2 linked regions of the Drosophila melanogaster genome follow. The protein of the gene in region 1 purifies or fractionates together with the protein of each later gene. This does not show direct contact. Each region holds a gene or a part of one and is shown on either strand. Other genes may lie near its edges.

Region 1 (3,755 bases):
AACCCGCCGGTCCCACGGGACTTCGCGGCTGATCAAGATCCAGCACTATATAGTTTACTCCGCAGCTGCCCGCTAAGCTGGTGGGCGTGGCCGGCTCTTGATTGGAAATTGGTTCCCTCGGCAGCAGAGGGAGCTCCAAGCGATTTACGTTCTCATAGCAGCGCTCATTGTTCAGATCAAAGATCAGAGCTTCCACATTGGCGTACATGTGCACAGCATCGTTGGGACTCAGAACTGGAGCTGGTGCTGGGGCCGATTCCAGAGGTGGCAAGTCCATCGTGCGCCTACGTGATGTCAACCTATTGCCGGAGGGCGGGGTGGAAAGCAAATCCGAGGCGGTGCCTTCCAGACAACAGTCCTGCAAAGCCCGCAATGGCTGATCCAAATAGGCACTGGGTATCAGGACTGGTGATTGCAAATTGGGCGGAGAGTCATCGACTTGCGAATCGTTGGCCTGCAGCGGATACGATGCACTTGTGCTCGAGGGCTCACTGTGGAAGTTGCCCAACTGGCGGCTCATTAGGGGAGCCGGCTCTAGATAGTTATTGCCCTCAGTACGGCCCATATTTACGGACACCGAATGAGCGGAGTTAACCCTTTCTCGTTCGCCCTGCACAAAGGCATCTGTATTCACCGCGTTGATGTAGCGCTGAAACATCGGATACAGCTGCTCGGCATTGTGGACTCGAAACGTGTAGATCCCTGGCCCAGACATACACCTACGTCCTGCTTCGAAGGAGAAGAGATCGTTATTCAACCCATAACGTCGGAGGTGTTGCAGTGCCCAGACAATGGGCTCACAGCCAGGCGACTGGAATATTAGTTCCCGGGGCGTTAGCTCCAGGTAGCCACTCCGGATGATGGGCGTACCCGGGGTGGGTTGCAGGTGAGCCACTCGCACTCGAAACACATTCTCATGACCGCGCAGCTCATTTAACTTGCTGCTGCTGGTGATGCAGCCCATGGTGTTGCACTGAAAGACGGAGTATTATGCATTGAAGGATTATCCACTCCAGTCATGTACAGTGCCTATTGAAATGCACACCTGGACAGGCAAGTCCGCCTGGCTGTTATCGCAGCGGGCATGGAAGAAATCGCAGGCCGATAAGAGCACCACCCACCGCCTCCACCAGCTGAAATCAGCTACCCAGTGGAACTGGAGGCTCTGGGGTGCAGTCGAATTGTGTTGCTGTTATCCTGGTTGACTCCTCCTGCTTTGGTTAACTCCTGATCGACGGGACTGCTGGCTGATTGTTGTTATTTGGCCACGGAAATTCCGTTCTTGTGGTATAAAATTTCTTCTGCGACTTTTCCCCTCGCCCGACAGAACGCAATTGTGAGCAACGGGCATGCTAACTTGATTTTCGCAAAAAGACTTACAAGAAACGCTTTTTAAAAAAGTAAACGGAAAATCAAAGACAAATTACAAGTAATTACACTTAAAGAATGAAAAACTAGTTTAGCCAAGTTTAAGCCAAGGAAATATTAATATTTCAAAATTTATAGAAAAATATTGCAAATGTCAGCTTAATAGAAGTTTTCTCTCGTTTAATAGAATAATCTTGAAGATTTCTTACGTCGTAATTTTTACGTTTCTGCAAATGTTTACTGCAATTAACAAGTAATAAATAGGATTCAGATGTAAACAAATATAATTTATAAAAAAATTTTAAGTTAAGGCATTTTAGTCATCTTAATTGTATGGTTAACCATTTGGCGGAACATCAACTTTGTGGACAGCACTATAACTAGACCCGAAGCCCTAACGCGTTCTAACTGCGAAAACATCCTAACGCGACGTAAATACCAGACCCGAGCGGACATTTTTTATTTGTGGAGCGCGCAACAAGAACGAGAAAAGAAACCGAAACGGAAAGCAGGCAAAAAGAGCTGCTGCCAGTGTAGAATCGCAAAGCAAAGAAAGAAGCAAGTGCGTGTGTTTTTAAACCGAAACCGAGAGAATCGAGCCAGGTAAATTCCACTTTAAGTCATAAGATCAGAACATAAAGGAGTTAATTTAAAAAAATAAATGAAAAAGAAACCAAAGCCAAGCAGGCAGACGGCTTGCGTGTGTGTGTGTGCGTGAGTGGTGCTACTTTTGAAATTCTCTATACCCGCTTTGAATTTCGTGTTTGTTTAAAGGAATTGTGATTGAAAAGGAGACAAAGAGTTATTGACGAAAAGTTTCTAACTGGTTTCAAAAATGGTAACTGTATTTGAGGCACAAGTGTTTGTAAAAGAGACGCCCGCCGACGCTCACACACACAGGCAGGAAAAAGGACGCCATGGAAGGCGGCTTAGTGTGCGTGAACGGTGAAGAATGGGAGAAGCGAAGACTAAAAGAGATATTTAAATGGAGTTTTATGCATTTAAGGAGAACTTTCTTTGTCATTAACCCCGCCCCCGCAAAATACAGCATTCGAATTTCGCCACCTTGGAGTAGTTGCCTTTTTACAAAATTTTTGGGTGTGCCGCCTTCAATGCGTCGGCGTTGCCACCACGTCGGCGTCCGCAGCAGCAGCGCAGGCAGTGACGGCGGCAGAGGCAAACACCATGCCGGTGTGGCTTTGTATCCGTATCCGTCTCGCTCTCTCTCTCTCTCTTTGTCTCTTCGGCTCAATCTAGCGCTCTCTCCTTTTTGTGCCTCGCCTTCCTTCGCCTCGCCCGCTCATCGCTCTGGTCCTTTGTGCCATCGCTTCGCCTTGACTTCTGGTTCATTGTCGTTGTCTCCTCTTTGTTTGCATTGTACGCCTGATTACACTTGCCAACATGTTTCTACCTTCTCAGCCAAACATCCTTGTGCAAGGTGCACGCACATAGCGAGTGCCCACTGTGGCCATTTGATCTTTGTATACGTTTCGATCCCTTTTGCGTCTCGGTTTACTCAGATTATCGATACGAGGAGGATCGTCTTTTTGTTTTTCCTACACTTTTGTTGCGAAAAACTGCGTCGCACTTTCTGCAGCGTCGGTTTGTCAGTTCGTCCGTCCGTCCGTCACTCAGTCGTTCAATCGCTCAATCGCAGACGGGCAGACAGCCACCGCCCTAACTGGCGTCGCCTACATGTCTTTGTGTGTGTGGTGTATGTGCTTGCGTGCCTGGGGTAGTGTGCCTGTGTGCGTGCCTCGCTGCATGTGTGAGTCCTTTACGAATGGAGTGGGTGGGCAGAGGCCGAGGAGGAAGAAGCAGAAGCGCAATCACAAGATTTTCGATTGTCAACTGCAATTTATACTACTGCTAAGAGAATTTTATGATCTACTTGCAACGCTGAATGCTAATGCCTTAAATTTTAGTAGCCTCTGTCAAGGATCTTAAATTCAAGTTCTTGTCACAATCATATTTCTTAAGTATATAATTACTTTTATTGTTAAATATTTGTACTGTACTTAATACGTAAAACGTATTTGACAAGTGAAATTTCATGATTGCTCTACTGAAATCTTTTCTTTGAAAATGAATGCTCTTCTTTGTGTTCTAACCTGACCAAATTTATTTGTCAGTGACCCAATTTAGGCACCAAAACTGTAAATATTTCCGAAAATCTTATCAATTTGCCTGTTGAAAATTTGATTAGGAATGGAGTTTGCATTCTGAATTTTCCCCACTCCCGAAATTTGAGCAAATTGAATTATTTCGCTGCGATTTCAGGTAGCGGTCGCCAACCGAATGTATCTTTGAAATTGGTTTATTGTTAAGGAGGAGGGGAGGGCGCCCCATAGAATTTGTGGCGGGTTTTCCCTTGAAGTCGGCTCGAA
Region 2 (3,755 bases), about 13 Mb from region 1:
AAGATGCGTAACGCCATACGATTTTTTGGCACACGATTTTTTGGCCGTGGCTCTAGAGGTGGCTCCAGGCTCTCTCGAATTTTTGTTAGAGAGCGAGAGAGCGAAGAGCGCTACAGCTAACAACTGTATGTGTGCACACGTATGCTCATGCATTGTAAATTTGACAAAATATGCCCTTCACCTCAGAAGTTCTTAGACTTTAAATCTATATTATTTTTGATCAATTGGCACCATGCGAAAAATTCTTGTTTTGCATTGCCTTAACGTTATTATTGTTTGAAAATAGATTAGAAATAGCCAAATCTATGTACATATTATCACAAAAATAAATTTCAAAAATGGCTTTATATTAGAATATTTGTCATTAGAGTATTCATATTGAGGCGTGTGAAAAATTAATAAGGCAATGATTGTTGAGTGCTTGTGTCCGCACTTCGTGCCGCAAGATATGAACAAAGCAAAGACACTAGAATTATTCTAGTGTCTTTGATATGACTTTTGCAATAAACAGTTATCATATTTTTATGAAATTTATGAAATTACAGTAGTTATAATAATTTCTATTGTACTTCCTTTAATTATTTAGTATATTTATTAAGTCATTTGACTTAATATGATGTAACATTAACATTAAAAGTGTTTAAAAAAAATATTTCGCTTTTAAAAAATTGTCAGATGAAAGACAAATTAGAATTAAACAAAAATATAAATGTGTAAACGGATAAACGAATAATTCTAGTGTCTTTGCTTTGTTCATATCTTGCGGCACGAAGTGCGGACACAAGCACTCAACAATCATTGCCATATTAATTTTTCACACGCCTCAATATGAATACTCTAATGACAAATATTCTTACATAAAGTCATTTTTGAAATTTATTTTTGTGATAATATGTACATAGATTTGGCTATTTCTAATCTATTTTCAAACAATAATAACGTTAAGGCAATGCAAAACAAGAATTTTTCGCATGGTGCCAATTGATCAAAAATAATATAGATTTAACGTCAAAGAACCTCTAGGGTGAAGGGGATATTTTGTCCCATTTACAATGCATGAGCATACGTGTGCACACATACAGTTGTTAGCTGTAGCGCTCTTCGCTCTCTCGCTCTCTAACAAAAATTCGAGAGAGCCTGGAGCCACCTCTAGAGCCACGGCGAAAAAATCGTGTGCCAAAAAATCGTATGGCGTTACGCATCTTGTTATTATAGTGTCTTTGGTAATACCTAACATTTTTTCATTAAGTCAATGAACTCAAAATATGGAAATTAATTTATAAATATTTCCACTGTGTTATAAACCCTGTGTGTTATAAACCTGTGTTATATAAACCCGTGATAAAATTATAACATGTTATACATATAATTCTTTCGATTGATCAGAAATTAAATGTTTGATAAGAAAATGTACTAATTGTATTATATTATGGAATTAAGAATATATTTTTTGGTATATTATTATTATAAGTTTCATTAAATATCGATAGACATCTTGCTGTAGTGGACATGTACTATTATTACGGTTCCATATGGGCTAATTTTAGTTCTTTTAGAAATTCGGTCACACTATTGATGAAGAAGGTCAAAATAAAAACTAGCTCAGTCGAGACAAAAACGTATGTGTCAGTGTAGTAGATTAACGTATAGAAAAACTGCAACACAACTTAAGTGAGATTGCCATTCAATATGTTCGCCAACAAATTGTTGACCTGCTCGGCATTACTAATAATGTTATTTTTACTAAGCAGTACAGGTTAGTGCCAAGCCAATTAAACCCTTTTTAAAACAGCAATGAAATGCGTCGCATTGGAGGCCTTTGTTCAATGTGATAATACATCGCAGTTCTTTTTATATGTATATGTATGTCGTTTGTTCATCGCACATAATTTATTTTTCCGGTGCCGTTCACGTCGCCATATGCGTTAGTGTCTTATCGGCGTAATAAGGTGTAAACGGTTGAATTGCGAGTTTTGCCTTCGTAGATCAAGGGTTTTAAACCTATTTCAGTAATCTGGCTATCCTTTCATAACTCTTCTAGAAAAATGGTGTCGCTTACGTTCGTTAGCCCCGGAGAACATCCATTTTTACCCCTTTCGCTTATTTGTTCTGGCAATTTACAGTTTTGTATGCAGATAAAGTCATCCGCCACCGTATGCATCCATATTTATTTTATGCACTTAAAATATTTATATGCATGGGTGTATAAATCGGCATATCATATTAAATTTGTATCCGCCATATAGCATACTTTAGTTTTTGGTTACTATCTGTCAATTCATATAACAAGATTTTGGGTCATTTGTTCAATACCAATGTTAGACATTTGTGCACATAGTATATACAAAATAATATATGACATAAAAAAAACAATCTGTGATAAAATAACAACAAGAGATAACGCTATAGTCGGTTCTCTGACTATCAGACTATGATAAGCGGATAAGACAACAAAGACTTGGAGCTAGACTGGGCATATGTATGTACCTACATATTTGGGGAGACATATTAAAATAAACAATTTAAAACATTTTTTTTTATAGCATGCGTGATAAAATGTTTCGGCATAGCAACAGAAGGATAAATGATTAAATCAGAAAATATTTTTTATTTTTTAATTTGTAGTGTGTTCCTACTAATCTTATCTTGTTAAATAGTTCTATAACCAGACCGAATTTAAAATTCGATTTCGACCTTATACATTTGGTTTGTATAAATATTTGACAATATGTTACGGTACGGCCATTTTCATAGGATCTCTACAAATCACTGAAAACGGAAATAAATTGTCCATCAAGTCCAAACTCACTAATATAAATAACAAAGGGTAATTTTTTGATAAGAGAACAAAGGAAATACAATTAGAGCTAACCATATGTACATTTGAATCTCTAATAAATAATTTTTTTTTCACGTCAATTTAAAGAAAATTCCGATTTAATAAAGAAAAGCTTTAATATTTTTAAAAATTCTTCTTTTAGTGTTCTCTCAAAAGCTTATTGGCTTGCCGAGAGTCGGTAAAAATGTTAGTGATTTGTTTCTGGAACAAGCAAACCCACTGACCAGCAGCTCCTCAACAATCTCAACGTCTTCGACAACAACTGAGAAACCTATCACAACCAGATCAACTTCTACAATAACTCCGAGATCTACCACACCTTCAACGGAATCACCATCGACCACCGCACCAGTGATAAGCACGACCATTGCCCCGCAACCATATCCGCAACCATCCATTGGGGCTTGGAATACCTCTTGTATTATGCTTCAAATGGCGGCACAACTTAATTTTACCTATGAGGCTAGGGGTAAGAAAATAAATCCATATTTAGATTGCGATCGAATTACGGCATTGGTGAGGTATGGGCTCTATTAGATTTTATAGAAACTCGTCTCACAGTTTTAACATTTTAATGAACTTACTGAAATCGATAAGGCAAATATTTCAGTTTAGATTAAAAAGAGATGTACATATGTAAGGATATATGTATGTATATTATATATATTATATTTACATCACTGTACACATAGAAATGATAATCAAGTTTTCAGACAATAACGAGTGATGCACTAATGATGCACTAAGGGTAACGTAAGGATAAAGACGGAGCGCAAGTTTGTTGACCCATGTTGCCACGTCCACAAACCATTTTTTTTCCCATTTTATTCCCCAATATCTATCGATATCCCAGAAAAATTATAAAAGTTGCGTTCGCATTCACACTAGCTGAGTAACGGTTACCTCTTCGGGTATC

Evidence for each region. The genes of interacting proteins can lie anywhere in the genome.
Region 2: the proteins of Akap200 (region 1) and Lamp1 purify together in Drosophila melanogaster (affinity purification with mass spectrometry, with the first as the bait; one large-scale study listed by BioGRID). This does not show direct contact.

What each region holds. Positions count from the first base shown.
Region 1 is NT_033779.5:8,413,916-8,417,670, forward strand, and holds the start of Akap200 (A kinase anchor protein 200), read left to right. Parts: upstream 1-1,774; 5' UTR 1,775-1,971; intron 1,972-3,755. Other genes in the region: CG13398 (uncharacterized protein), read right to left, coding at 1-964. UniProt on the Drosophila melanogaster protein: Scaffolding protein involved in the regulation of PKA signaling and anchoring to the actin cytoskeleton integrating signals propagated by cAMP, diacylglycerol and calcium.
Region 2 is NT_033779.5:21,571,806-21,575,560, forward strand, and holds the start of Lamp1 (Lamp1), read left to right. Parts: upstream 1-1,583; 5' UTR 1,584-1,689; coding exon 1,690-1,756; intron 1,757-2,981; coding exon 2,982-3,308; intron 3,309-3,755.